4 linked regions of the Elephas maximus indicus genome follow. The protein of the gene in region 1 purifies or fractionates together with the protein of each later gene. This does not show direct contact. Links are inferred from orthologs where the notes say so. Each region holds a gene or a part of one and is shown on either strand. Other genes may lie near its edges.

Evidence for each region.
Region 2: the proteins of PPP1CA (region 1) and ADISSP purify together in Homo sapiens (affinity purification with mass spectrometry; 4 studies listed by BioGRID and IntAct, counting the BioPlex papers as one, with this or other methods). This does not show direct contact. The link is inferred for Elephas maximus indicus from reciprocal best matches to the Homo sapiens genes PPP1CA and ADISSP.
Region 3: the proteins of PPP1CA (region 1) and KIF18A purify together in Homo sapiens (affinity purification with mass spectrometry; 3 studies listed by BioGRID and IntAct, counting the BioPlex papers as one, with this or other methods). This does not show direct contact. The link is inferred for Elephas maximus indicus from reciprocal best matches to the Homo sapiens genes PPP1CA and KIF18A.
Region 4: the proteins of PPP1CA (region 1) and ERBIN purify together in Homo sapiens (affinity purification with mass spectrometry; 3 studies listed by BioGRID and IntAct, counting the BioPlex papers as one, with this or other methods). This does not show direct contact. The link is inferred for Elephas maximus indicus from reciprocal best matches to the Homo sapiens genes PPP1CA and ERBIN.

Annotation. Positions count from the first base shown.
Region 1 is NC_064825.1:130,432,961-130,440,436, forward strand, and holds the start of PPP1CA (serine/threonine-protein phosphatase PP1-alpha catalytic subunit), read right to left. Parts: upstream 3,003-7,476; 5' UTR 2,908-3,002; coding exon 2,853-2,907; intron 2,379-2,852; coding exon 2,247-2,378; intron 2,123-2,246; coding exon 1,892-2,122; intron 1,245-1,891; coding exon 1,140-1,244; intron 683-1,139; coding exon 459-682; intron 375-458; coding exon 240-374; intron 90-239; coding exon 1-89. Other genes in the region: TBC1D10C (carabin), read left to right, coding at 4,348-4,499, 5,252-5,351, 5,789-5,896, 5,981-6,355, 6,951-7,016, 7,171-7,360. UniProt on the Homo sapiens protein: Protein phosphatase that associates with over 200 regulatory proteins to form highly specific holoenzymes which dephosphorylate hundreds of biological targets.
Region 2 is NC_064843.1:42,368,176-42,376,144, reverse strand, and holds the start of ADISSP (UPF0687 protein C20orf27 homolog), read left to right. Parts: upstream 1-4,969; 5' UTR 4,970-5,194; intron 5,195-7,904; exon of another isoform or gene 7,905-7,969. UniProt on the Homo sapiens protein: Adipocyte-secreted protein (adipokine) that acts as a key regulator for white adipose tissue (WAT) thermogenesis and glucose homeostasis at least in part through activation of protein kinase A (PKA).
Region 3 is NC_064825.1:83,030,750-83,038,070, reverse strand, and holds the start of KIF18A (kinesin-like protein KIF18A), read left to right. Parts: upstream 1-4,309; 5' UTR 4,310-4,529; intron 4,530-7,321.
Region 4 is NC_064820.1:70,759,853-70,767,734, reverse strand, and holds the start of ERBIN (erbin), read right to left. Parts: upstream 3,015-7,882; 5' UTR 2,333-3,014; intron 1-2,332. UniProt on the Homo sapiens protein: Acts as an adapter for the receptor ERBB2, in epithelia. By binding the unphosphorylated 'Tyr-1248' of receptor ERBB2, it may contribute to stabilize this unphosphorylated state.

The sequences.
Region 1 (7,476 bases):
TTGCGGGGTGGGGTGATGGGCCGGCCTCCAGGATTCAGGCCGCTGAACTGCCCGTATTTCCCCTTGTTCTTGTCGGCGGGTTTGAGGATCTACAAGAGACGGAACTAGTCAGACTCTCGGGCTGGGCCACAGGGCCTAGTGCTCACCCCTACAGCCACCTGGAAGACGCACCTGAGAGCCCATCACTCCCCGCCCCCCCGGGAGAAGCACATGAGGTCACCCCCCCTCCCTACAGCCACCTGGAAGGAGCACATAAGAGTCTCATCCACACTCATCATGGCACCAGCGTTGTCAAACTCGCCACAGTAGTTAGGAGCTGAGAAAAGTGTCACCAGCTGCCGCTTGGCAAAGAACTCGTAGCCGTCTTCCACCACCTGGGCAAGGGCAGGGATAAGGAGTTTGGTGCGGAAATGCCCTGCCCGTCCCCACCCCCTGCGGACCCAGCACTGTCCGCCCACCTGATGCGCCCGGCAAATGAGGTCCAAGTCATGTTTGTGCAGGAACTTGGCCACCACCTCGGCCCCGAAGGTAAAGGAGACACCGCGGTCGTTCTCGCCCCAGCCCTGCACGTCCTTGTCGGGGTCGGACCACAGCAGGTCGCACAGCAGGCCCTGGTCAGGCACATCGGTGGGCCGCATGATCCGCCGGATCTGCTCCATGGATTGCAGGTCTGGGGATAGGCCTGGGAGACACACGCGGCTCGATGCCTCAACAAGCCTCCACCAGGGAGCCCACCTCCAGGCAGCTGCACCAACCACCTCACCTTCCCCACCACCACCACCACCACCGCCAGGCCCAGGCAGGCCTCTTCATCCTCCCCTCAGCATTTACCAATCGCTGAGCACAGGGGCAAACAAACAAGAATTCCCTGCCCTCAAGGAATGCCCACAGCTCTCTGGAAAAAGGAGATAAGCAAATTCCACCACAGTGCACCCTAACAGAGGGTGGTGAGGCAACTTCTTGGAAAAAGTGACATCTAAGACAACACGCAAGCCGTTCCAGGCGACAGGACACTCGCCCTCCAGCGAACCATGCTTCATCCCAAGGCGGTGTGGCTGGCCCTGCCTTCGCAGGCATTCACTCCCTCAGCAGCACGACGCCGGCTGTAAGAAGGCGCTCGCCAGCCCCCAGGCCCGCACCTCCATGGCAGCAGAAAATCTTCTCATCCACAATGGCCGCGATGGGCAGGCAGTTGAAGCAGTCGGTGAAGGTTTTCCACAGCTTGATGTTGTAGCGTCTCTTGCCTGCTTGGAGGAAAGGGCTGGCTCTGAGAAGGCTGTTCACTGACCCCACCCCACCCCAGCCTGGGTCTCTGGGCCCCCCAGGGTGCTGCGTGGGCCATCCAGACCCAGCTGGGAGAAGAGAGTGAAAGGCAAGGGGGCTAACATTCCCCACGCTGCCTACCACTCCTCCAGGATGGAGTTCTAAAGCAGCAGAGTCCACAGGAACGCCCAAGTTCCAATCCAGAACCTCAGGGTTGGTACATCCTCCGCCTAACACACACCCACCCACCCCAACCCCATGAGCAGGGCCAGGCAAGACCTGATCTGGTTTAGCTCAGCTTCTGGCCAGCAGAGTCCAAGCCAGTTAGACGTCCTGAGTATTTAAGTAATGGGTGCACTGGAGGTGGGAGTGTCACCAGGCAGAGCCTCCAAGAAAAGCAGTACGAATTCAAATTGCCAGCAACCATTCACCAAGCCCCTCCTGAGTGTATCCCCTCCAGGGAGGGCGGGCCAGGCAGACATGCCCTGAACCAGACCCTGCCTTTGCGGAGCTCAGTCTAGCGGGAATCTGGCAGGCAGTATGGCTAACGCCAAGCCAATATGAGGGTTCCGCTGAACAGAGAGGAGGGCATTTGAGCTGGGCAGTGCCCAGACCCCGGACCACTCACACTCGTCATAGAAGCCGTAGATGCGGTTGATGCTGGCACACTCGTGGTTCCCACGGAGCAGGAAAAAGTTCTCGGGGTACTTGATCTTATAGGCCAGCAGCAGACAGATGGTCTCCAGAGACTGCTTGCCCCGGTCCACGTAGTCCCCCAGGAAGAGGTAGTTGCTCTCCGGAGGAAAGCCGCCGTACTCAAACAACCGCAGAAGGTCATAGTACTGGCCGTGGATGTCACCTGTGACCCCGGGAATCGCGTCAGTGCCAGGTGCAGGGTTTGCAAGTGAAGCGGGGTCAGGTTAGGCTCCAGAGAGGAGGGACCCAGACACTTGAGGGGCCTATGCCACTTTCAGGGGGCTCACCGCATATCTTGAGGGGCGCCTCCAGCTCCAGAAGAATGGGCTGGCTCAGGAAGATCTCCCTGGACTTGAGACACAGACCACGGATCTCGTTCTCTGTCAGCTGGACATTCTTCCCAGGCCGTGAGCCTTGCACTGGGGGAGAAAAGGGCGTCAGGACTCTGGGTCTTCAGGCAGGAGGGTGGGCGACACGGGGTCCCACGGTACCCCTCCTGGCCCAGGGACAGATGTTGCTGTCGCCTGGGACCTCGGCCTCAAGCCCCCCAAGACAGGACCCCACTACCCTCAGGGCCCTGTACATGGGGTTGCTGTGCGCCAGGCCCGCCGCCCCACACCTCAGAGCGCGGGACCCCACCCCGGTCTAGGCGCCTCAGGTCCCGCACGCACCCGAGACCCCCGGCCCTGGAGAGGGGGCTGCTCCGCGAGCCGGAGCGGGCCTCGGACCCCCCAGGCGTGCCCGCGCGTGGGGGAGCGGCGGTGGGCCGGGACCTCGGGGCGTCCCCGCCCAGGCTACGCAGGCCCGGGAGGGGCAGGCTCGCCGCGCGCCACTTCCGGGCCGGGCGGGGGGCCAAGGCGGGGCGGGCGCGACCCTGCCCGGCCCCCGCTCACCTTCCAGAAGGCGCCCGATGATGGAGTCCAAGTTGAGCTTCTCGGTGTCGGACATGGCGGCGCCGCCGCTCCGACCCTGCCGCTCCGGGCCCGCTCCTGCCGCCCGCCCTCCTGCTGCCTCCTTCCGGCCTGGCGCTCTTTCCGCCCGCCCGGGCCGCCCCCGCGCGCCTCCCGCCCCGCCTCGGCCGCCGCCCGGCCCGCGCCCGCGCCCGCGCCCGCGCCCGCGCCCGCGCCCGCGCCCCGCGCTCTAGCGCCCCCTCCGGACGGGAGGCGCGGCGCCGCCACGGCCTTGGAGGCCGGGCCTCGGCGGTGGGCGGGCTTTGGCGGGGTGGGGTGGAGCCTGGCTGTGGCTTGGGGGCGTGGTTTGTGGGGCGTGGCCACGTCTGGTCCCGCCCCCCGAGGAGTCACGGAGCCCGGTTCTGAGGTCTCTCACCAGAAGTCCTATGGAAGTTGTTTTTCCCTTTTAGACTGAACAGCCCTTTTTCCACCGCTGCCCTGTGGTGGTTTGGCCCTGGGGCGAGGGTGGTGCGAGCGCATTAATAACCGCGACAAACCCAGCCCTGTCCGTCTCCCCAAACGTGGCGGGTTGAGTCCTAGAAGTTCAGAAAAGGAAACTGAGGCTTCGAGATAGCAAAGGGCTGACCTGAGACAGTGATCTCACATTCACGGAGGGTCTCATTCTCCTAAGTCTCCCTGGCAACCCCCGGGCGGCCGACCAAGCCCGAAGACCACCTGTCACTGACCTTCAAACCCATTCTTGTCCACACCGAACCAGAGTAGTGCTGGCTAAATGAAAGTCCTGTAATTACCTTGTGAGTAATTACCTTGTGAGTAGCACAGTTAAACAATGTGCACGCATTATGTACGTGTTAAAAGCGTAACTTTGTAAAGAGCAAACAGTAAATAAGCCCTAATTCTCATTGGAGCCCCACCTTGGACGTCTTACATGCCAGGAATCTAAATCGGAGGCGACACCTCCTCTCTACCTCTCTACCTAGCAGACCCGCGCCACACAGAAGGCATAGAAACCCACATCTGCGGCCCCGTGGGAGGTTGGGAGGGGCCGTGGCTCACAGGGCACCAGGGCAGGCAGGAAGAGCCTCAGAGAGGAAGGGGTGACCTCCCTACTTGGGAGGGGCCCCTCAGCGCGCTGCTGAAGCTAGGGTTGAGGAGGAAGTGAGAGGAGGAGGTGAGGTGCAGCCCAGAGGTGAGCTGGGCTGGTGGGGGCAGCAGCTGGGCCTGGGTCTGGATCTTTGTACAGAGGTCTGGCCTTGCTGCCATTTCAGGGCCTAGTCACCAGCCCCTGACTCCGAAAAAGAGGGAACCCAGGGGCCTTGGTGAGATACCCTGAAACCTACCCCTCCGACTCAACATCTAGGCCCTGGGGCTGGGGCCTGGCTGGCTGTGAGCCCCGAACCCAGACGGGTCGGGAACTGCCCTTTACCCTGGCTCTCCCCGCATCTTGCAGCCGGTGGCATCTGGGGTCGGGGGCAGCATGGCCCAGGCCCTAGGGGAGGACCTGGTGCAGCCTACCGAGCTGCAGGATGACTCCAGCTCCTTGGGGTCCGACTCAGAGCTGAGTGGGCCCGGCCCATATCGCCAGGCTGACCGCTATGGCTTCATCGGCGGAGGCTCAGCAGAGCCATGGTAAGTGGGGGGGGGGGGGGGGGGAGGTATAGAGTGCCGGGGCTGAGGATGGGGCCTGAGGGCTGGATTCTGGAATGACGTCCAACTTTGAGCATCCTGGGAGGGTCTGGCAGTAGGGAATGGGACTCAGTCGGTATCACCTCTTTTCAAGCTCCAGGTAGAACCCTGAGGCAGGAATGGCTGGGAGGAAATCCCTATATGTCTCTTGTACCCTCCCAAATCTCTGAGGGTTGACACCCACCACTGGGGCTGAACATCCTTCTGCTTTTAACCTCTGGCACAAGAATCCCAGATCCAAACCAAAGAACCCACAATATCTCCTTCCTCCTTCCCCTAAACGTACAGACAGGAAAACCAGTCCAGAGACAGGTACTTGCCTGAGGTCACACAGTAGATTAGAGACCTAAACTCTCCAACTCAGGACTCCTGGCATCCAGTCCAGGGCTCTGTCCAACTCACCTCCCCTGTGACTTATCTGTCCCTGTCCTGGGGGGAAAGCTAGACAACCCTTCCCCCAACAGGCACTCCCACACCCCTTCAGTCTCTCCTGTTTCCGCCCACATCAGAGCCACATCCTTTCCTATCCCCATGACAACCATTGGCAACTCCTGGGTCACAGGTCACTCCCTGGGGCTCCTGAGAGATCCCAGGCCCAGGAGCTGGGCTTGCCCAGGTAGCATAGAGGGTGGCAGGTGGTGTGGGCTCCTGGGAACAGCTGTCCAGCGTCTGGATACTGTGCCATGTGCCCCCAGGCCAGGCCAACCCCCTGCAGACCTTATCCGCCAGCGGGAGATGAAGTGGGTGGAGATGACCTCGCACTGGGAGAAGACCATGTCCCGGCGGTACAAGAAGGTGAGGGGGACAGTGGGTCCACCCAGGCCTCCTTATCCGACCCCCTATGCTTCACTTGCCCCCACCCCCACAAAAGGTACCCATCCTGTGACCCAGCGTCTCCTATCTTTGCTCCCAACCACCCAAAGTGGCCCCTTTCCAACAACAAGTCATGTGGCCTCATGGAACCCCAGGCCTCTCCCACAGGAGGGGACGGATTACCCAATAAAAAGATACACACGGGCTTACTGGTGCTCATTTACTAATCTGTAGTGTTCAGTTTCTCATGAGGCTGGGTCTCTGTCCAGAGCACTGGCCTTTCTGCCACTTCACATGTGAAACCTGTGTGAGATTGTGCACTAAAGATTAGTAAGTAAACACAATTAAGGCAGGGGATACCTTGCTTACTGTAAGCCAGCGTGTACCTTGCTTACTGGTTAATCAGCCTCTGCCCACAGGTGAAGATACAGTGCCGGAAAGGCATCCCCTCAGCCCTGAGGGCCAGGTGCTGGCCCCTGCTGTGCGGGGCCCACATCTGTCAGGAGAACAGCCCTGGAACCTATCAGGTGAGGGACTTGGCTGAGCTCCTGCCTCCCCTTCCCAGAGCTCCTTTGAGCCCTCACACCCACCTGCCTGCTTGCCCACCACAGGAGCTGGCCTCGGCCCCTGGAGACCCCCAGTGGATGGAGACCATCGGTAGGGACCTGCACCGCCAGTTCCCTCTGCACGAGATGTTTGTCTCACCCCAGGGTCATGGGTACGAACCAGTGATGTCCAGGAACCCCACCCCAGCCCCCTGCCCCTGCATCTCAGGGGAGCTGGCAAGGCCCAGGAAGGCTGAGGCCCGGGGAGAGGCTACCTGGGGGGAAGGGTGTCTGGGGACTGGCCCTAACGAGGTCTCCTGGCACAGGCAGCAGGGGCTCCTGCAGGTCCTCAAGGCCTACACCTTGTATCGGCCAGAACAGGGCTACTGCCAGGCCCAGGGCCCTGTGGCGGCCGTCCTGCTCATGCACCTGCCTCCGGAGGTGAGTGGCCCTGGGCCCTGCTCCAGGGACCTGAGACCCTGACCCCAAATCTAGTGATCCAGGCCCCCCGTGGTCCTGAGCCCTGGACCTATGACCACCAACCCCGGGGCCTCTGGCTTCAGGTACCTGGATCTTTGACTCCCAGACCCTGTCTGCGTGGCCCAGGCATCATGACTACCAACATTAGGGACCTTCAACCCCAATGACCTTGACTCCAGGAACCTGGGATCCTTGAGCCCTAACCCTTACCCCAGTGATCCAGGAGTCTGGGCCTTATCGCCTTGACCTCATGACTCCTGTGACCCTGTGACCATGATCCCTGACCCCAGGAACCCAGGACTTGAACTTTGGGACCCTTCCAACCACGGTACCCTCAAATTCAACACCCTGAGCCCTATGACTTCCAACCCCTTAAAGCTATCATCAGGCCCCTAGCTTAGGCACAGGGGGAGGCTTTGGGAAAGAGCCTACCAGGCACTGAGCAGGGTAAGGGCAGCCCTGAGTCCCTCAGTCCTAGGTTTCTAGGCCCCATTCCCCTTCCTCCTGCCCTGTGTTCCTCTTGAGGCGGACACTTATGGCTGGCCCTCCTCCTCAGGAGGCCTTCTGGTGCCTGGTGCAGATCTGTGAGGTCTACCTCCCCGGCTACTATGGGCCGCACATGGTGAGAGGTGGGATGGGGGCCCCCGAGGCTGGGGAGGGTGCGATGGGGAGCCAGCATGGCTAGGAGGGGCCGGGCAGGCAGGGGGAGGGCCTGGGGGCAGAGGAGGCCTGGGCTGGGGTGGGGGACTGATGGCTGGCTGACAACGGGGCTGCAGGAGGCAGTGCAGCTGGATGCTGAGGTGTTTGCGGCTCTGCTGCGGAAGCTTCTCCCGAGGGTGCACAAGCACCTACAGCAGGTGGGCGTCGGGCCCCTGCTCTACCTGCCCGAGTGGTTCCTGTGCCTCTTCGCCCGCTCCCTGCCCTTCCCCACGGTGCTGCGCATCTGGGACGCCTTCCTCAGCGAGGGTGAGTGGGGTCGGCGTTCGCTGGCCGGGGAAGCCTTGGCGGGGCACACAGGGAGTGAGCGGCCCAGCTCGGGGTCCGGCAGCTCTGCTGCTGCCAACCCTGGTCCTCGTGGGCCC
Region 2 (7,969 bases), on another chromosome or scaffold:
ATTTTTATGAGAAACTAATTTGTGTGGTAAACCTTCACCTAAAGCACAATAAAATAAAATATCATTGAGAAATAAAATTTACAGATCTTGGTGACCAATTTAAAAAAAAAGTGAGCTTTTTGTCAATAACAGAATTCTAGCAACTGGAACAGAGTGCCAGGTTAAGGTGGAACTAACCAGGTTGCACAGTGCAGGGTTCTTTTTTTTATGTCGGTTAGGATGTGAAGCAATTGAAACTCTCATAGTCTGCTGATGGGAGTATAAATTAGTACAACTATTTCACAAAACTGTTTGACAGTTTCTTATAAAAAAATTAAATATGCCTATGCTATTGTACCAGAGTTCAATCAGAGAAGAATAAGGATTTGTTACAGGGATTTAACTTCATGTAATTGTGGGAGCTGGTTGAACGTTCTCTGTATGGCTGTTGTTTTTGCATCTGATGCTGGAGCTTAAAGTCCACAATTGACAAGGGCGGATGGATATAAATTTGTGGGAAGAGAGGACAAGTTTGAATCCATGAGCATAAGCCAAACCTCTGGAGGACAAACTGGAACCCATGTTGGGTCTCACTGACTCCAACCTTGGTGGTGTAGGTGTCCTACAGGAGAAGCTGGAAGCCTTCATCATAGAGCTAAACACATATCTGGCTCAGGAATCAGGTGGAGTAGTTGAAGGCCCAGCTACTACCCCAAGTCAATGAGGTTAGCCAGCTCACCAGTAACAATATGCCTGGGCCACAAAGCTTCTGCCCCAACCTTCCAAGTGTAAAAAACAATATGCCACTGCTTTTCTTCTACTCTCCAAATCTCATTCAAGAATGTCTCTTGTGATCCGTCCTAAATAAAAAACATACATTAAAGGGAATTCTGGGAAATGTAGTTCACTCTACTCAAGATAAATGCACACACATTCACTTAAAGACACGTGCTAGAATGTACAATACAGTATATATTATTTTTGTGTTGGACTTCTTTTGCTTGATATTATATCTACAGAAGTCATCTATGTTGTTGTATGTATTCAGTAGATTGTTATTTGTTACTATTGTATAACATACCTGTCTTAGCCAGTGCTACTACGACAGAAATACCAGAAGTGAGTGGCTCAATGAAGAGAAATGTATTTTCTCACAGTTTAGGAGGCTAGAAGTCTGAATTTGGGACACTGACTCTAGGGAAAGGCTCTCTCTCTGTTGTCTCCGGGGCAATATCTCTTTCTGTTTCTGCAGCCCCTGCATTCCTTGGTTCCCTGGCAATTTCCATGTGACACCTACCTTCCCCTTCATTTGTGCTTACTTCTCTGTGCCTAATCTGCTCTATTCGTGTCTCAGAAATGGTTAGATTTCAGATACACCCTACACTGATAAGAAAACTCTATTCCCAAATGGGATTACAACCACAGGTATAGGGGTTAGGATTCCAAAATTTATTTTGGGGGGACACAATTCAATCCATAACAATACCTTTGTATGGATTAAAACAAACAAACAACCCCATTGCTGTCAAGTTGATTCTGACTCATAGCAACCTTATAGGACCAAATAGAACTGCCCCATAGGGTTTCTAAAGAGAGGCTAGCTGGTGGATTCGAACTGCCAACCTTTTGGTTAGAAGCCGTGCTCTTCACCACTGCACCACCAGGGTTCCAAGTATGAATAGAGCACAATTTATTTATTTTCTATTGTTGATGGATATTTGGGTAATTTCCAGTTTAGGGCTATTACAATAGCACTGCCATAAATACCTGTATACATGTGTCTTGCTGTATACTTAAGAGTGGAATTGCTGGGTCATAGGATTGGTATTTATCAGCTTTATTAGGCACTGCCAAACAGTTTTCCAAAGTGGTCATAGTTGTTTTTTATTATTAAAAGTAATAGAATCCAGAATACCATGCGTTTACAGCTGGGGAAGATGTCCTGTATGTGCTCAACTTACTCTCCTAACTCGGAGTGTTCCTAATTCCTTACCATACTGCCCCCATCTCAAGGAAGCCTGGCAGAGGCCTAGGGCTTCCCTCTAGTAAGGCCCTTTGCACAGGAAGTCCCAGGGCCTCAGCATCACGTTGATGTTGACACACCCTCTTCTGGGTACACAGGCCCATTGGGCAGCAGTGGGGCAACCATGTACATTAGACCCTGCACAAAGAGGTCATTTCCTTCCTTTTCTTTCTTCCTCTGGAGACTTTCCAGAACTATCCGTACCCACTGTGGCTCTGGGGACTTCCCTGGGAGCCTGTAGTATCCCCAGGCATGGGGAACTCAGTATTGCAGGTCCTTCCAGTTGGCCAGTGAACCAGACTGCCCACCACTTAGCAGTATGAAGAGTACTTGGAAGGGAGAATACCACGGCTGTTTTTGTGGGGTGTGCCTCCCACACGAAGCTGTGAGTGCTTTCAACTCCACAGAGCCTAGTACAGTTGCTTGCTTACCATATACACACAGTAAATATTTGTTACAAGGAATTGCCAGTAAGGAAATAGCCCCAGGCTGCTAGTCTGTGTGTTTTCCACAGCCCACACCAAAGATGGTTGTGAGGAGAAAGACTTCATAAAAAAAAAAAAAAAAAGGTAGGCGTTAACCTGGATTTGAAGGAAGGGTGTTTTGTGTATGAAAGGAGAGTGGGAAGGGCATTCCAGGTGGGAGGGTAGTAAAAGGAGGAGGGCAGGATCACAAAGTGAAATGCCTGCACAGACCTGGAAGGAAAAACAAAGGTGAGGAAACAGGGAGTGGTAGAGACTATACAGTAAATTGGGGGCCCATAGGGTCACTGTGAGTCTGAATTGACTCCATGGCAGTGGGCTTTTTTTTTTTTTTTTAAGGTGGTACAAACTGTTAAGAACTGGGTTATTAGCTTAAAGGCTGGCCGTTCAAACCACCCAGAGGTACCTTGGAAGAAAGGCCTGGTGATGTTTCTGAAAGGTCACAGTCATTGAAAATTCTCTGGAGCACAGTTCTACTCCGATACACACGGAGTTGCCATGAGTTGGATTAGACACGGCGGGTAATCAGTTTTGTTATATAATAAATTGGAGTGGCCCTACCACTCAGGGCCAGAGTTTGGTGCAAGGGCAGAAAGTGAACCTGTGTTGCTAAATCTGGTATTTCCAAAGAAGCCTAGAAATCTGGAATCCAAAAAAAAAAAAAAGCTCCAGGTAGGCTTAACAAAATCTGCAGGCTACTTTGGGCCCACTGTCTACCAACTTTAGGACTTGAGGAAAAGAATAAAAACCCTTTGCCATTGAGTCAATTCTGACTCATAGCGACCCTACAGGACAAAGTAGAACTGCCCCATAGTTTCCAACGAGCTCCTGGTGGATTCGAACTGCTGACCTTTTGGTTGGCAGCTGTAGCTCTTAATCACTACACCACCACGGTTTCTGAAGAAAAGAATAGAGATGGGAATACAGTTGGGGAGCACAGCAGGGCCCATGCGACAGGGGTGTAAGAGGGCAAAAGCCTCTGGCAGGAGTAGGTCACTTGGGATCAGGCCGTGGAAAGCTCCCAGTGTCGGCGGCGCTGGATGCCCACATCTCAAACGCCAGAGTGCGCACGATTTACCCAAGGTGCTGCTAAAAAGTTTGCGAAGCTCTGCTAGCTAGAGACAGTCGGGGGACTGTTTGGAGCCGGGGAGGGTGGCGGTGGAAACAATAGCTCAGGAAGATTAATTTGCCAACTGCATGCAGGCCGGAGATTGGGATATAGATTAGGGGCCGCAGCGAGCCAGAGATCCAGAGGGTGGAAGCCTTGAGGGCTCTCCAAAGGCCGCAATCCCGGCCCTACTGAAAGGAAGCGGGGCCCCCAGCCGCCCAAGCCATCTCCCCCCTAGTCACGTTGGAAGGGGAGCCCCAAGCTTTGCGCAGCTCCCCGCGGGCACTTGGGAACCTGTCTACCGCAGGCGGAACCGGAGGGCGGGGTGGAGGGGTGGGCTCACGGATGGGCAGGTGGGGCTGCTGTTGGGACCCCTGAAGATCCGAGAACCACGCCTCTCGTTCCCTCGCGCGGTGGAGGCGCCCACATCCCACCCCACGGCGCCGAGCTAGGCGCATCTCGCTGCCATGGCGACTGCCTCCATGGAGATTGAGAGCAGAGGCTGAGGTCCCCGGGGGCGCCTGCACAGTCTCTTCCAACCCCCACCCCCACGTGCTTTCTTTGTTCTGAAGCTTATTCCGGGCCGGGCGGGGCTCCGAGGACTTGTGTCAGGTCCAAGCAGGAGCGCCTCCTCCGAGGCAGGTGTATGGGGTGGAGGAGGAAGAGGCCGAGGGTCACAGGGGGAAGAATGGAGGGTTCCTCAGGGCCTGGAGGAAACCCTGGTGGTGTAGTGGTTAAGTGCTACGACTGCTAAACAAAGGGTTGGCAGTTGGAATCCACCAGGTGCTCTTTGGAAACTCTAGGGGCAGTTCTACTCTGTCCAATATGATCGCTATGAGTCGGAATCGACTCGACGGCGCCGGGTTTTGGTTTTTCAGGGCCTTTTGGGACAGGACCTAGTGATGCCCGTATCAGTTGCCGAGGAGGGCGTGGGAGCCTAGGGAGAAAGGTGACCTGCCTCTGAACCTAGCATTTCGGCCCAAGCTTTGTCCGACTGCCGCCCGAGGGTACAGGGTCCACGGAGGGCACCTCCCAGGTGGAGGCCAAGGCAGGAGGTGCAAGCTGCACCGCCGGAGGTGGGGCGGGGGCGGGGCCTACCAGGAGGCTCCTCCCACCTCCCTTTCCTTCTGCCCCTCCGGGCACCAGGCCTGGTCAGGACGGCCCGGCTGTCTTCATCGCGAGAACTCGCCGGGCCTTGGTTGGCTCGGACTCGCAAAGCGCAGTCGCGGCGCCTCCGGCACGTGACTCTGGCGGCATATCGCCTGTTGGCGGTTCTCTGGCGCCTGCTCATTGGTCGGCAGAGGCTCTCGCCCAGCCCCTCGGACCGACCAATGGGCGTAGGCGGAGGCGTGCCGGTGAGGCGGGCGGCGCGGCGCGGGCTGTCTGCTAGTGCTCTGCGCTGGGCCCCCGCCGCTGCCGCCGCTGTTGCCGCCGCCGCTGCTGCCGCCGCCGCTGCTGCCACCGTCGCTGCGGCTGTAGTCCTGGCCCAGCCCAGCCCCGGGGTGTGCCCCGCTTGGCGAGACTGACCTTCCTCTGCCGCCTGCCGGTTCCGCCTCGCTCGCCTAGATCCCCTCCCGGTCCCGGCCCCGTCCTAGGCAGAAGGTACTGGGGACCCCGTCGGCTGTCGGGGAGGGACTGGGGCGGGGGGCTCCATTGGGGGGGCCGGGCTCTGGAGAGCTTCCCGGGCCCCTGAGGTGGGGAGATGACAGAACCCGGAGACGTGGGTGACCGTTAGTTGGTGGGGCAAGGGTGTTCTCCGCGGGGCGCTGTTGGGGGCAGGGGTGTCACAGTGAGGGCAGGGGCGTAATGGGGTCAGCCCCGACACCCCCCCGCCACTGCCACCGCCTCTTTGTGTGACCTTGGACGAGTAGTAACTCTGAGCCTCCGCGGTCTCGGCACCCCTGGGAAGGGGAGCGGTGATATCGGGGGACGGGAGCTCCCAAGACTCCTGCGTCAGCCGAGGTGAAGGTGGGAAGCGCCCCAGGTTATCTCTGAGGGACAGAACCTCTGCCTCGCAGGGGTATAATGAGAGGACGTCCAGCGATTCTGTCTGCGAGAAGATGATAATGGGGCTGAATGGGAGCGCCACACCCACCAGGATGGCGGCGGGAGAGGCGAGGATACAGGGTCCTACGTCCGGGGCTCCTGGTGCCACTGCCGGCTCCTGGTGCCACTGCCGGCTCCCTGTGTCATGCACCAGAAGGGATTCGAACCTGTGTTGCGGTTAGTTGAGCAGGGGTTCTGCTGGACGGAGAAGATAGGCTTTAGGTTCCTTTCCTCTTGAATCTTGGCACTGGGGAATCAGGAAGGGTGTTTCTCTGCCCCAGGGGCTGAGGAAGGTCAGAGGCAGCTGTTTCCCCCTTCCCCTGACCCCTGGCCTGGCCTCTACTTGGGTCCCCAGGACCACAGGCCCAGGGAGGGGCCTGGGAGGGGCAGGCAGTCTGGAGGCTAGGGGAACCTAAGCACCCTCTAGCTGGGGGTGTGTTTATGAGGAGATGGAAGGATGCTGTACAGAGGATGGCAGCGCTTCTTGGGGAGACAGGAGGGTGTGGGATGGGGAGATCCTTTCCCCAGTTCAACATCCCCCCCCCCGCACCCCACCTTTTGTGAGAGAGAGAACACCCATACTTAGCTTTGCACCCTTGGCTTATCTGGAGGAAAGGGAAAATGAGGTCGCATCAAGACTGAGTTTATGTGAAGCCTTCACAACTACACCTGACCTCCAGCCTTGCCTTTCCAGGCCTTGTTCTAGGTATACAGGGACCCTGTTGTGTGCCCAGTCCTGTATCAGATCCTGGGAGTCAGGAGGTCACTGTGACCCTGTCTCAAGTCCTCCATGGGCAGCGATCCCTTTATAGGCCTGAGATTTAATGGGAGGCTGGATGGGGCTTCTGCTGGACTGAGTGTTTGAGGTTGGGAGGGGAAGGGAGAGGTGAGAAGGGTGGGAGGTTATAGAGTTCCTGGCCCAAAGTCCTTGGAACAGGCTGAGAATGGAGATTGAGGAATAAATGAGGAGCAAGGCCTTGAGAGGTTGGGGGCATAGCCCGACCACACAATGGTGGGGAGAACAATCTGGGTTGCCCCACGATGCCTTGGATTTGAGAGCTGTCTCTGGGGCAGGTGGTGTGGGGAGTACAGCTATAGGGGTGAGCGGCGGCTTCCTGAGCTCTGCTTTGCTGTGGATAGACTGTTGTTGCTTTAGCCCTTCCTCCAGTCCGCAGCCTTGGGCCCAGCACTGGACACCTGCAGTAGCAACTAGCGCCCTCCAGGGCTGGAGTCTAGGGTGCTGAGAACTCTGGGTTCCTGTGTGACCGTCCATCTGTCTGCCCACTTGCGGTGCCTGTGAGCCTGTTCCTCAGGCCAGACGCTCCCCTGGGCCTGGCTGAGTGCTGCCTGGGCCGAGTAGCCTGGAACTAGCCTTTATTTCTAAAGCTCTCTGTCCCCCAGAGGGGAGTTCTCCCCATTTTCCCTGAGAGCAACTGAGAGCAACAGAAGCCCTTAAGGTCCTTGTCCCAACTTTCCAGCCCTTCCTATCTATGACTGTTTAGGGTCCTACCCTTGACCTGTTGATAGCCCATCAAAGGCAGGGGCAGTTGTCATTTTTTTTATTTTTTGAGGGGGGCACCATGTTCCTCCCTGGTGGCATTTCCTAGGATGCACATTCTCCACATCTTCCTTGTGATCAGGACAGAGGGTGGAGACCCAGTCCGGATGGCACCTGGATCCTCTGGTTGGGAGGAACAGGGGCTCCAAGCAGCCTTCTCTCTGGCCCTGCTGGGGGCCTGGTTGCCAGGAGTAGGGAGGGCAGGAGGAGAGAAGGAGGAGGGAGGTCTTTTCAATCCTTGGGCTGTTTTCTGAGAAGGCTGAAGTCCCTGGAGCCTACCCTGAGGGCCCTTCCTGGCTGTTGCGGGAAGAGCCTGAAGCACCTCTGCCAGTGCCTTCCTGAAGTTGTTGTTGCTTCAGAAACCAGCCTTTGGGGTTTGCTTTCACAGAGGTGGGGGGACACGCTGGGGGAACGTGTCGTTACAGAGCTTCAGGCAGCAGCTCTACTTGCCGCACCCTGTGGGTTAGTGTTCACTGAGCCCTGTGAGGGAGAGGCTGCCGCTTATTCCTGTGTTACAGATGAGGAAACCAAGGTCAGAGAATTGAAGTTATTTGCCCCCAGTCACGTGGCCAGCAAGGGCCAGAGCCTGAATTTGAACCAGGACTGCTGGGCTCTGGAGCCCACGCTCCTGATCATCTCCCTATTGCCTGGGGGTGGGACGGGTGGGAGGTGGGAAGGACTGTGCCACTTGGGGCAAGCTGAGGATTGGGCTGACACAGGAGGAGGCTGGAGGTAGGGCCAGCCTTGGGCTCGCTTGGGGCCTAGTAGTTCCC
Region 3 (7,321 bases), about 47 Mb from region 1:
CAAACAAAGCAATGATTGTGAGGATGGTGCAGGATCAGGCAGTGTTTCATTCTGTTGCACGCAGGGTCACTATGAGTCACACTCAACTCAACAGAATATAACAACCTAACAAAAAATAATAACTAATTCTATGGGGCAGTTCTACTCTGTCCTATAGGGTCACTACGAGTTGGAATCGACTCAACAGCACTGGCTTTGATTTGGTTTTATACCAGTAACTATTCTGAGCACACTGTATATACTAACTCATTCAATTCTTATCACAACTTAACAAAAAAAACCGTTGCCAACTCATAGAGACCCTATAGGACAGAGTAAAACTGCCCCATAGGGTTTCCAAGGAGTGCCTGGTAGATTCAAACTGCTGACCTTTTTGGTTAGCATCCATAGCTCTCCACCACTATGCCACCAGGGTTTCCTCAACTTTACAAGGTAGTTACTACTATTATTCCCATTTTACAGATAAAACCAAAAAAACCCAAACTGGTTGCCCTTGAGTCAATTCCAACTCAGAGTGACCTTATAGGACAGGTAGAACTCCCCTCTAGTTTCTAAGGAGCGCTTGGTAAGTTGGAACTGCTGACCTTTTGGTTAGTAGCCATAGCACTTAAACACTAGGCCACCAGGGTTAAACATAAAAAAAAAAAAATGCACTTCTATAATGTAATGTTACTTTAATTATACTGACTGTTCACAGTATATTACGTATTATTCAATTTTTTTTTTAAAGAAGTCAACATCCTATTGCTTGATTCTGCTCCACTTGAAAATAACAGTATGCTGTGCAGTACTCAAAAGAGGGCATACAATGTATAGGTGGAATTCAGAATATTTAATAGATTTTGATAATTTTTAGAAAAAGGAGTATCAATTCCAATACAGGAATCAGAACCACAAGGAAAAATACAAGTAGAAGAGTAGATAGAACAAATACTGCTATCAACAGCATTTAATTTCCTTCTACTGCAGTCAATTTCTAGACATTTATTCAACTATGCTCAACGTACAAAGTCTGAGCATTTTACTATTAAATAATTGGCCAATAACGTGGGCCATGAGGGAGAGGATCAACATGAGGGAAAGGACCACAAATAATTCATTTTCCTCTGTTTTTTTTTTTTTTTTTTTCCTGGAATACCTCCCAAAGAATGGAAGGAAACAACCTTTCAGTGGGGCCCCTTCCCTCTTGTCTGCAGCCCAGTCTACTACCAGACAACCCAGAGCCCTACCGCAGTTGCTAAAAGCCAGATACCCTAAACGATTTAAGATTGTTTAATCCCTTCTGGACACAGGAAATAAGCAGGAATTCAGGAAATAGGGTCTTTAGAGCTGATTCTGTGGTTCTACGGGTTAAGTCACTAAACTTTTCTCCTGGAGCAAAGTTCCGTTTACGGTATGAGACCACAGAAGTGGCCTGGTTACTTTTAACTGTGGTAGCACAAAGGTGAGTGTGCCTTTGCTGACTATGTCTTCAAAGGTTGTCCACTTTCCCCTGCAAAGAAAAGCTGTCTAAAAACTTAACGCCCGAGGCCAAAAACGCGACCTGGAGGCTGGAACCCGAATGCGGAGAAAGTGAAAGTAGGAAGTTCCAAGGAAAGGGAGCAATGCACTGTTTTGCTTGAGAATTCGTCTCCGAGTTCTACTCTGACGAGGAAACCCTGTTTGGAAACTTCTCAGCCCAGAAGGAATGAATGTTGAGGGGGAGGAAGCGAGAGCAGGGTCGCGTGTTTCCTTTGCTCCTGTCGAAGCCGGGGAGCCCAGGAGTTCCCCCAGAAGGGCGGCTCTAGGAGAGCTCCTGGGACTCAGCCATCTTCTCACCTGAATCGGCCTCTGACTCAGGCCAGTGACGGTCACAACGAGGTCGAAGAACCTAAACTTGCCGCACGCCTAGATCCCAGCCCTGGGGGAAACTTGGCGACGACGGACAAATTGGGCCCACGTCCGCCCCAGCAACTGAGGACCGTCTGTCTTTCGTTCCGCTGCTTCCAGTGCCCAGCTGTCTTGCAGGTGCTGGGGTTTCCAAACGTAGTTCCTGAGAACATAAATAAGATCCCACCATTTCCACGTTTAAATTCACCTTTACCGTTTTTATGTTGTTGCTGTTGTCTTAATGTCTGAGGAAACTTTAAATCTCGCTCCATTTTTATACCTAATTTCTACTCTCTTCAGTTTGCTAAGAACTTATGTTCAATTTCGATGTTCTAGCAACACTGTTTTATGTTCCAATTTCTAATAAAATGTGGGCATTTCTGTCTCAGTAGCTATACTTGTTTTAGAAGTTTTTGTTCTTTTTCCTCCATTTCATTACAAAATAAGCCATTCTCTAATCCTGTCTGTTAGGTCACCTTCATATCTTGCCAAGTTAACAAGTCAGCTGACAAGAGAAACAGCTTTGGTTGTAATGTCAGAATTGCTCTGCTTTAACTATATGTACAATTTCTTAAGAGTCCATACCTCACCCTCTGAACTCTGCTAAATGGCAAGTGTAAAATGGGATTTAAATTTAAATGTAAAGCAAGTACTTGGTTCAGGTGTAGAAACATCTGTGAGACTAGTAAACCTTATCATACAATGTAAAAAACTAACAAAAGTTAGATAGGCATCAAAAATTAGAAAATTTAAAAGACTTCTATTTTTTACCAATGATTAATGAAATTTTACAAAAATTTGGTAAGATCTGCACATGTTCAGGCCGGGTGAAGATATTATTTTAATGGCTCTTAATATAAAATGTATTTCAGAGACAAATGATTCAACTCTGAAATGGCTGGTTTGTACAACTCAAATGTTTTCCTTTAAGGATTAACTGAAAATTTCAACTTCTTCCTCAGTAAAATGAAGATAACAGCACCTACATCTCATGGACTGTTTTGAGAATTAAATATCATTTGTAAAGTGATTAATAAAACGCCTGGAAATCAAAGGCAACAAAGTACTATACAGTGAGTGCATATTGAGTTAAAATAAAAAGGTTTCTCGATTTTATTACCAAACCCCAAACTACACAGATAACTATTACATTAGTTAAGATACATGTAATACAACCAAAGAGTAGTGATACATGTAATACAACTACAGAGTAATAGCTTTATTGAGGCTCTATCCAGTGTTCAAAAACAATCATATAACATGCACCATATTCAATTCACAGTGCTTCCAAATGACATTCAATAAGAAATAAATGTCATTTATCTTGGGGGTTCCCATACACTATTTTATTTCTAATACTCTGCATGAGTGTTTTGCAACCCTATTTATACAGTGATAATCAATTTTCAGAATACGAACTCCAAGAGGGCGGGGATTTTGATATTGTGTACTATCATGTCCCTAAAATCTACAAAAGTGCGTAGCGCGTACATAATAGGCTCAGTCAATAATTTCACTGAATGAATGAATACAGTGATAATAATATCCAAAACCAAACCAAACCCAGTGCCGTCGAGTCGATTCCAACTCATAGCGACCCTATAGGACAGAGTAGAACTGCCCCATTGAGTTTCCAAGGAGTGCCTGGTGGATTCTAACTGCCGACCCTTTGGTTAGCAGCCGTAGCACTTAACCACTACGTCACCAGAGTTTCCAATAATAATATAAATAAGAAAAATGAAATTCAGGTCGTACTATTAAAAATTTTCTAACAAATAAAAATGAGTCATCTTAACAAAGCAAACATATTTTCCAGGTATTTTTCTCTCTTTTTAAAGTGTACATTTTTAAGTAACATAGCTACCTACACCCTGGGACTTAAAAAAAAAAAAAACCTTCATCCAATAATGAAAAAGGCTAACATCTTTAAAGGATTTTATTTCGTAATGCCATCATTAGAAAGAATGTAAAACAGTCAAACACCAAAGTTTCTCAGTCAGCACTAAAAGAAGTAGGCTTGGGAGTCCTCAGAAATGAAGCCTGGGGGCTCCAATCAAAAGCCTTGGACTTCCAAATAAAGTGAAGAGAACTCATTTCTACCCAGGTGAACCTGGCTGGAAGGAACAGGGTCCTACACTTTCCAGATCATGGGACGTCTTTGAGGCCTCACTATTCAGAGGGAAAAGGAGAATATAAACACCCAGAGCCCATTAGCCCATAACCAATAGCCTCTGCCTCACCCCCTAGCAGAGGGCACACGCCAACCTCCACCCGCACACGTCTGACTCACACCCTGAACCCAGAGACCGGACCCTGCACCCACAGGTCTGCAGGCTCACTGATGATCCCGGGGGGGCTGCCTCCAACCAGAAGCTCCAGCCTAGCCCCTCCCACTCCGGCCACCGCCTCCGGAAACGGCCGCGCTTGTTGCCACGGCGACGAGGAGCAGGGTCGCTTCCCGGCGCGGCGCCACTGAATCTCTAGGCGCCAAGCAGTCACGCGCCGCGGCAACGTCCGGCGTGATGATGTCACACAGGCGGCAGCCAATAAAATGAGGCGCTTAGGAAGCTGGCTTGGGTTTGAATCTTGTGGCTGATTTTGAAGCGCGGTGAGTCTGGTATCAAAGTGAAGTGGTAGCGGTGGCCTCTTGTGGGCTTGAGGTGAGTGAGGGTCACGCGAAGTGGAAACTCTGGTCTCTGGGTTGCTCTTTCTAATGACCTGCCCCACTGGGAGCGAAGGGTCCCGCCTCTTCAGGTCTAAAGAAAGGTCGGTCCAAGTTGTGCTTGTTGACAAACGCCGGAGCGTTGGGTGGGGGCTGAGGAGTTGTCAGGGCTCCTGAGGAAAAAGTAAAATGAAGGACGGGCTCGAGAACGCGCTAGAGCAAGAGTTAGCCTTAAGGTGAGCCCTTGACAGCTCAGCACGAAGGCAGGAATCACCTGCCTTAAATTCTGAGAGGAAGTCGGAAGTTTTAAAGGGCATCTTGGCCCCCCTTCCCAGACTTCGGCATAGCACTTAGTTGTCCCCTACCTTGCAGCATGAAGTTCCTTCCAGACTCCAACTTTGGAGACGCAGAAGTAAGCCTAACTCAGTGCTTAACTATCAAATGGAGAACACTGGTTCGCCAAGACATAAAATTTTTGTCCAGTGAAGATCTGTTGTTAGCCTGGCACAGGTCAATCGGGAGCCCACCCCAAGCTCCTGTTTCTACTTTTGTAGCATCAAGATAAGACCTCCCCTGACTGCCTCACGGGATTACTGATGATCAGACCAGGTATGGAAGGGATACTGCTTTGGTAAAGTGCACTGCTAATGAAAGACACTTTAAGCACTGAGAATCAGTCTTTCTGTTGTCTATTTTTAGTTTCTGCAAAACTCCTTTAGCTGCTCATTGGGCGCTCAGTTACAGAAAGGTCAAGGCTGGCTGTTGTTTACTATATAAGAAGAGATTATTTGGCCAGAGCTGAATAAGTTTGCTGTATAATATGTAGTACTGGTTATTAGCTGTGGAACATTAGGCAGAATGTATAGACATTCTATAGGTTTTATGTGTTAAGTGTCATTCCAGCACCCTTTCCCCCCCCCACCTTAGGTTTTGTGGGGGGATTTTTGCACTCTGGTACTTGGGAATATAAGGTCCAAAGAGTTGATAGTGCTTGTTATTAAATTCTATTATTTTTTAAGAACTGTTTCAGTAAAATAAAGAGTATCTGCCTTTAATAATCATAACTAATCTTATTTTAAGTTACTGAATAGAGATTTACAAGTATATAATATTTTCAATTTAAAGTGCATCTTGTCTTACTATAAACATACATCAAGCCAATTAAAGCACACAAGAAAATGTTTTTTGTACTACCAACTATATGAAAACTAGGAGGAAGAAATAGCCCAGCAGTCAATGTCACCCTTGCCATTTGAACTTTTGTTTTCCGTGATGCTTGTGAGTCAAGAAAGCAATGGCTCTAACACATTATTCAAAAGAAAGGAGAAAAATATTAGTGGTTGGGTTCTGGAAGCCCTGACAGTTTGCCCAGTCCTCTCAATTGAGTCTTTTACATAGCATATTTAATTTTATTGATGTTAGATGCAGAGCTGCTAGTAATGTCTGTTGCACCAATGTTGTGACAGCTTTAAAAAAAAAAACGAACACAGCATAATCAAATATGATGCTGAATGTAAGTTCTCTGACCTATTCTTGAGATATGTCATATTACAGGGCATGTATGGCTTCTTCCTGAATTGATATGCTTACTCTGTTTTTATAGCTCCATTCACAGACATGGGTCTGAAAGATATACAGGATCCATTGCCTTTACCTTTACAAAAGGGTTGTTACTTTTGAAATACCATAAAAGAGCATGATACTAATTATCTACCATAAACTTCCCTTCAAGACATGTATGGTGTTATGGGAAAATATTGATCTTGGAATCAAAAAGTTTGAATGTCATCTCTGTCCTTATAACTTTCAGAACCTGAATTTCTTCAGTAGATTATGATTATACCTACTTCAACAAGGTGGTGTGAGTTTTAAGTTAGAGATTATAAATGACAGTGTCAAGGATAGTTTTCAGCCCCCCAAAAAAGTCTGAGTCCAAACCTAATTCAGATTTGAGTTTGTACTTAAGAAATAATTCATAACCATATCACTCCATATCCAGGATAATTTCTCCAAAATTTCTGTACTTTCGTTTGGAAGCATTCTCTTCTAATTCGAGTAGAGCCTAGTTGTTAACAACATAGATTCTGAATTTGGGTATGCGTTTTCATTCTGGCTCCCCACTTATTAGCTATGTCAGCTTAGAAAAATTGCTTATCCTTTCTAAGGCTAAATCTCTGTTTTTGTTAAGTGGAGACAATAATAGGACCTACCTTCTATGATTATTATAAGGATTAAATGATTTGATGAATGTCAAATGTTTAACATAACATCTAGCACAGAGGGTACACAAATGTTAATGATTGTTTTTCATTATTACTAGTTATCACCATGTTGATCTAATCCAAGAGTTCCCTAATAATAGTATATTTGCTTTAAAAAAAAAATGGCTACTGTAAGATACCTGACAAACACATGGAAATCATAAACTTTCAGTTTGATTTCAACATTTGTTCAATGAGCTCCTATACTAGGCTCAGAGGTTTCTATCAAAAATAGGTAAATATATGTTTTTAAGTTTTTCTATGAGAAAATATCTGGAAGTTGTATATTTATATCAGGGAGAGTAGTGATTAAATAATTGGACTTTACATTCAGCAGCCTGAGTTCAAATCTCATGTCTCCTATTTCCAGTAGTGTAACTTTGGCCAGTTAACTTAATCTTTCTATACTACAGTTTCTCCCTCTATAAAACAAGGATAATCATAATACCTACATCATAGGATTTTTATGGGGATTGTTGTTAAGTGCCTTCAAGTAGATTTTCCACCTATAGCTATCCCATGGGGATTA
Region 4 (7,882 bases), on another chromosome or scaffold:
CCATGCAATAAAAATTTGGTTTCCATATTTGAGCCTCCACAAACTTTCATATGTGGAAAATTTCCAATAGCTTGATCACAAGCAGCAGGCTGACTTCGTATCTTACTACTTGAAATGATTAGTTGACGGATGAGTTAAATACATCACTAATGAAAACATGATTACCTTCAACAAACAGCCATTAAATATGTATTTTGTGCAATATAAGCAAAACACTTTGGAAGTACTCTATATTTGCTAATTTAATCCAAGAAAACCCACGATACTAAGAATATCCAAATTTTTGAAGCCATTTAAAATACTTGAACTGATTGTCTCTCTAAAACAAGTATCTTTTCAAACCTTTGTCACTATATTTTTAAAAAAGAGTTTAAAATATTTATTGTTTGACAAGATTAAAACCTAAAATTCATTCATAAACCTAAAATTCAACACTAAACTCATAGAATTCTAAGTGAACCACAAATTACACCTTGCTGAGGGGGAAAAAAAGGACCCAAACACAGATACAAAGGTGAGCACCTCACTTTTAAAAATGTGTTGCCTGCATCTAAACATACTACTATTCCCTCAACAATGAAAAAAAGTCAAGAACTATAGCTTATAACCGGTTTTAAATATTTAGGTGCTACAATTTTTTTTTTAAATAAAATTTACTAATATAGAGAAACATCTTCACAAAGTTAAGTCTCTGTAAAAGATTTGCTCTATTAAGACTTTGGTACTCTGAGGCCAAGTATAAGCCATATAAGGAAACTGAAGTTCAATGTCATTTATTTTGTTCCGCTCTTTCAGATGCCCAAGAATAACCTCTTCCACTGCCTAACCATACATTCCAAAATCACAAAGTAAATCAGTAATGCATTTTAAACTCCTTGATAAAGCTAGTTTGACGTAATAATAATTGCTTGGTGGTTCACAAACACACACAGGTCTAGAGACTAGGCTCTGGGAAAATATTAAAACGATACATACTAAAAATTAAAAGATTCACTTTTTGAAATGTGGTTAGTAAAGTAACAAAGAACAAGCTGTGAAATACTTGATTCTGATTTTTAAGATCACCTCTTCTTTGAACTAAAGAAAGGCAACTTTTTCCTCAGGTTTCCGGTAACTACTTGAGGTCTCATGGGCAAGCAAAACATAAATTTATAAAGATACACCTACCAACGGAATACTGTATTTATCCAATATTTATTCAAAAGCACAGTATATTATCTTCACCCCCCTTTACCACAAAAGTACCGGGAAAAGCTAAACTTCAAAACACAGACACAGTAAAACACCACTGAAAAAACAATCCGGGTTTCCGGCAACCAAAACTAGTTTTATCTAAGAAGACAACCCATTGGTTCAGAAGTGTTCATAACTCTGACTGGTGGAACGTCTGCCATGCTTCATGAATCTCTCCCCCTCAGTAGGTACCTGGCATTAAGCAGAACCTGGTAAAAACATTTGTGGCAATACAAAAATGTAAATACTGCACTATTCAAAAAGTACTGCTTTGTATCAAAATCAATGTGACTTCCACGAAAGTCCTTTTACTTCTCTTCCTACACATTCGGTTCTCAGTTGCAAAGAAGTCCTGGCACGCAAATCAAACCAGTTACAGGTGCGTTGTTTTTTGTTTTTTTTTTTAAGTATACCTCTCTTCATCCATAACCCCTACCCCCTCCTTTTTCTTCCTACTAGGACAGTTACAGGAAAAATCTAACAGATACTTGCTTTCAATTAACGAAATAAGTATTATAAGGTTCTAAACGTCTGAAAGGAACAAGTTATTACCTAAAGAAATATATTACCCGCCCAGAAAAACGATTAAGAATGGCAACGCTTTTTTGTTTTTGTTAATAAGCTCCAATATATTTATAAGGGCTTGAACTACAAAGTCTCTGTATATAATTAACCAAAATAATCGGTAACAGTATGAACAAATGTGGCTGCCATCTCTTAAAAGCGAACCACTCGCTGCAGCGACCTTTCTTCCAAAACAAGAGTTGCCAGACTCAGCAACTTAATAAAAAAAATATACATTGTATATGTTCAGGAAAAGTAAAACTTCTGCACCTTGTGCTAAACAAAGGCACTCTTTCTTCGGACTGCAGAGAACTTTTCGTCCCACCGCATTCTTAAAATCTTTTAAAATAACCAGAGCCTAGATGGTAGAGGGGAAAAAAGTGGGGGGGGGGGGGAACCTCAGTACTATGTAACAACTAAACTATATTCGATATTACAAGAGAATTTAGGGCAACTTTGCGGAAAAGTGAGAAACACTAAAGTCTTTCCTGGCCCACGAACTTTGTGACTTCTAGACACTTTTCGTGAAAATTACCTTTCGGTCGGGCAGTGTCTCAGGGCAGCTTTTTCAAGGCTTCGCCTGACATGATTTCCTTTCCTTCATGAGTCACTTTGGATCCAGTCGAATTTCTCCCTCCGGTGAGAGCGGATGTGGAGCGGCCTCCCGCAGTAAGAAGAGTAGGTTGCTTTGGTGGGGGTTGGGATGCGGGCTGGTTTCCGGGTCTCGAGTTTTGCAGGAGTTTCCCAGCCCCAAGTAGGCTCTCCGCAGGGGGGGGAGACTTCTCACTCGTGACACGCCCGGAATTACCGTGCGAAACTCACTTCCTGCCTCGGCGAGAAGCAGGATCCAGCTCCGTCCAGGGGAACCCGGAAAACCAGCTCCCCGCACTCCGGGGAGGGGGCGTCCGCGGGGAGCCTGGGGCTCGGGCCCCGGGCGCCCCGTACACCCGACGGAGGCGGAACCCGGCCGACGCGGTACTAGACGCCGCCGAGGTGCTCGGCGAGCCTCGGCCGCACTAGGCCGCCACCTCCTCTTCGCTGCCGCCGCCCCCAGAGCCGGGCGGCGGGGTTATTGTCTCGATAGCGCCTGCCGCGCCCTTCGCCCGCGCTGCTGCCGCCGCCCGGAGCCGGAACCGAGGGGCCGGGGAGACTCGCTGGCGGACCCCTCCCCGGGCCGTCCGTCGGGCTGTCCGTCCTTCCGTCCGTCCCTCCCCGCCTTCCCTTCCCCGTCCTCGGACCCTCTTCTGCTCCCTCCCCGGTTTTCCCGCCGCCGTCCCTTCGCTCCCCTCAGCGCTCTTCTTCCCCAGCGGCTGTGGCTCCCCCAAGAAGCGCAGGGGGAGGGGACAGCCGGCGGCGTCTCCTCACGAGCTCGTGGGGCCGCGGCAGGCGCCGAGGCTGCGTCCCGCGCTGCCGCGCCACATTCACTCGAGCTAGGGACAGCGAGGAGAGGGGAGGGGAGGGGAGGGAGGGAGAGGAGAGAAAGGAGGAGGAAGGGGCTGGGGTGGAGAGGAGTTACTGCCTCACAGGCCGCGACAGCAACAGCGCCACCGCCCCGGCGAGGTGGAAGCAGCAGCGCGCGGCGGGGGCGGGGCGGCCTCCCGCCGTCTTCGCCCCAACCGCCAACAGCCGGGCTGGAGGTCGGCGCGAGCCAGTGGCTGCTCGCGGGGGCGGGCGGCCGACGTCGACGGCGCCGGGGGGCGGCGGGCGAGGGGCAGCGGGGCCGTGGGGGAGGGGCTGTCGGCGGCCGAGGGTTAGCAAGTGAGTCGCTGCGCGGCGAAGGGCCCCGGGGAGGCCTATCTGCCTCTCCCCAGCCCGCCCCACGACCCCGCACACACCCGCTCCTGAGCGGTCCGAGGGGAGTGGCGGTGCAGACGCGGACCCTGACCGGCTCCTCGCAGCGCCGCGCTGAGCCCCGGAGACCGAGAGCCCACAGGCCTCCGCCGCCCCAGCTGACTGAGTTTCTTTGTACGACAGTAATCGGTGCGGAGAGGTTGTCCAAGTCCAACCCCGATTTGAAGGCTGCAGGTATCTCTTTCAACTGCAGCACTCCAACTTCCGCTAATGGCACGCTCAGGTTGCAGGAAACCACAGCGGCATTTCGGTGAAGCTTCCCACGCTGGCCCTTGCTCGGAGCTTGCTCCCACAGCCACCCAGCTGGGGCTCCTCCAGTTCTCAGCCTCACACCGGCAGGGAGACAAAGCTGGCGCTGGAAGGAGGAAAATGGCCCGCGAAATTGCCTCAAGATAGTGCCTTTGTTTGAAGAAACATTGGATATACTCCGAATGCGACGTAGGCTTCCAACCCCAGCGGTTTTGGTGGTGCAGTGAATTGCGTTGGCCCTAATAATTCAGCCTGGCAGGGTTTGCGTTTATTGCGGAGAGAGATTTTTAAGGATTGTGTCAACACATATGGCACAGAAATCCTCAACCATAACATCGCACTGTTTTTTGCAGTTGCTGCTTTAGATACCTTAACAGGCAAGACGGCTTTGTTTTACCCGGAGAAGAAAAGATACTGAGCAAACCACACACCCCACCCCCTACCCCCGCTGTGCTTAACTGTGTACAGTGATGGTAATTAGTCTCTGGGTCCCTGAAGTCACTGGTTCAGTTCTTCCGTCTGCGTTACAGAGATAATTATTTATTACCAAGTATGAATAAAGAGTTGAATACCCTGCAGATGATTTTTGGCGCGCATCCAACGGGAGGAGTTCATTAAAAACCATCAAAGAATCATTTACCAAAGTGAGTTGTATACTTGTGAAAAGCACTTGAAATAACCCTAAAGATACTCAGGACATTCTACTAGGGGCGGGAGCATTTTAACTAACCCCACCTCCCACCTCTAACCCCCCATTGCTGGAATTAACCCTGGTAAAGGAGCCGTTATAGGTTGCTATGAGTCGGAATCGACTTGACGCCAACGGGTATAGGAGCTCTGGTGGCTAGTAGTTAAGAGCTGGGCTGCTAACCAAAAAGTCGGCAGTTCGAATCCACCATCCGCTCCTCGGAAACTGTATGGGGCAGTTCTACTCCGACGGCAACGGGTTTGGTTTTGGTATTAGTTCCTTAATGTAGAGCAGAAGTTGAAGATTTACTAATAATATCAATACCAGATTGTTCAGGCTTATTCAGTGCTTAACTGGAAGTAAGAGTGTTGTAACTAGAATAGGAAACAGCAACCATATATGCCAAGCGAGGTATCCATTTTATATGAATAAGAATCTTAGCCATTGTATAAAATTTAAAGTTAGCATATTATATGATCAATTTTTAAATCCTCATGAGAAAAGATTTCTTCCTCACTTCCAAAATCTCCTGTGAGTCTGAACAGAGCCGGATGTTCTAGCTATGAACTGAAAGGATCAGTCCCCTAAATCATTCCAGGGTGAAGAATCTCCCATACCAGAGACCAGCTGGATCTTGGAATTAGAATGCTAAATCTAGTCTCAAGTTGATTCAACCAAAACCTGTTGCCTTCAAGTCATTTCCGACTCATAGCAACCCTATAGGACAGAATAGAACGGCTCCATAGGGTTTCCAAAGAGTAGCTGGTGGATTCAAACTGCCAACCTTTTGGTTAGCACCCGAACTCTTAACCACTAAGCTGCCAGGGTTTCCCAGGTTGATTCAAGAGCCCTTTAAATCTTGGGGTGTCCAAAGTAAACCTAACCACCACCACCACTGCAAACCTAAATAAGTAGAACTAGACCACATCCCTAGGCTAAGACCTGCCCTGTCCTAGTCATTTTTTACTTGAACTCATACTCAGGACCAACCTGGCTAACCATCATTCAGGCTACAGAAGTCCCTATAACCCAAAAGCCCTCCTTCAGCTCACCTGAAATTCTGCCATTGGGGTTTTTTCCCTTTGAGTAGTTTCATCCTCTGGCACAAAATCATAATCCTGGAAAATGTAATATTTTAAGCCTTATTAGTTATTTAGATCTAATTCATCAGATTATTTCCCAAAAGCAGATTTGATGGGAGGGAAATGGAAATAATACATGCTGAGGCTGAGTATGTAGGAGAGGGAAATGTGGTTTCATTCCTTGGAATAATGTATGAAGTATACGATTAAAAAAAAAAAAAAACGATTAGAGACAATAAAATGACTCCCTGTTGATTGTTAAATAAGTGTTGCTTACTCATAATATAAGAATGAGCCCCAAAACACTGTTCTTCAAGGGTGGAAGCCAGGATACACTCGTCAATAGTTATCTATGTTTTGTCAAATATTTCTTTCATAATCCCTTTATAAAGTAGGCAATTGGTTCTTCGAGAACTGTACCTTCAGCAGTGATTCTGCATCTGTACTCATAGAAAATGGTGAAATGACAGCTATATAATCAGGGTATATGACTCATCTTTGCTATTCATCGCTGACCACTTACTTCTAACTCATATGAACAGCACATACAGATACAGCCAAATCGTGTAGTTGTTCTTTTTTATAACCAGGCATTCCTGCTCCATGCTTTACAGATTAGTTTCTTATGAAATTTCTCCCTCAAGACCCTGAACTAAAATGGACTTCACTTTTCAATCATGATTAAAAGAACTAAAGCCCCACCCTAAACAAGCCTTCCTAACTGTGATTGTGTAATGATTAACCGATTGTGTAATGATTAGCTTGATCTTCTCCATTGTTATTCTCTAAATGATTCTTTGCAAAAAGCAAAGGAATCCTTTAGGATTCTTCTTCCCAAAGGTTGAACTCAGGAAAGGAATTACTGCCTAATAGAGATAAGCCGTACTTCTTAAGGAGATGCCTTAAGGCTTTAATCATTCCATGGAATACACACAGCTCCCATCAGAAAAAAAAGTACCGGGGTATAAGGCCAGGTGCTTTTAAAAGGGTCCCTCTATCATTTCCCCAAACCAGCTGAGCAGCTATGCAGAAGCATTAGAGAGACAAAAGTAGCAGGAGGAAAGAAAAGGTTTGGGGTGATAATTCTTCTTTTCTCCTTTTTTCAACCCCTTGTAAAGAGTTGGTTACCTAAAATCAAATTTTTCATCATAGTGGTGTTTGGAGAAGATCAATCTCAGACCAGAGTACGGTTACATTCAAAAGAAGTCAAGAAGCACCGTTGTTCTTAGGTGTCATCAAGTCGGTTCTGACTCAAAGTGACCCTACGTACAAAAGAATGAAACACCGTCCAGTCCTGTGCCATCCTCACAATCCTTACTATGCTTGAGCATATCATTGCAGCCACTGTGTCAGTCCACCTTGTTGGGGATCTTCCTCTTTTTCATTGACCCTCTACTTTCCCAAGCATGATGTTCTTCTTCAGGAACTGGTCCCTTCCAATAACGTGTCCAAAGTATGTCAGAGGAAGTCTCATCCATCATCCTCGCTTCTAAGGAATATTCTGGCTGTATTTCTTCCAAGACATATTTGTTCATTCTTCTGGCAGACCATGGTATATTCAGTATTCTTCACCAACACCATAATTCAAAGTATCAGTTCTTCTTTGGTCTTCCTTATTCATTGTCCACCTTTCACATGCATATTAGGCAATTAAAAACACCATGACTTGGGTCAGGTGCACCTTACTTCTCAAAGTGATCTCTTTGTTTTTTAACACTTTATAGATGTCTTTTGTAGCAGGTTTGCCCAATGCAATGCATCGTTTGATTTCTGGACTGCTGTTCCCATGGGTGTTGATTGTGGATCAAAGTAAAATGAAATCCTTCACAATGTCAGTGGTTTCTCCATTTACTAAGATGTTGATTATTGGTCCGGTTGTGAGGTTTTTGTTTTATGTTGAGGTGTAATCCATACTGAAGTCCTCTTCACTTTCAGCAAGCAAAGTTGTGTCATCTGCATATCACGGGTTGTTAATTAGTCTTCCTCAAATCCTGATGCCACATTCTTCTTCATATAGTCGGGCTTCTCGGGTTATTTGTGTAGCATACATATTAAATAAGTATGGTGAAAGCATTCCTCCCTGACACACAAGTCTGTCTTAGAAGAAGTATTGCCAGAATACTCATTAAAGGCAAGGATGGCGAGACTACAAGGGACTAGTCCCTGGAGACGGACATCATGCATGGTAGAGTAGAGGGTCAGTGAAAAAGAGGAA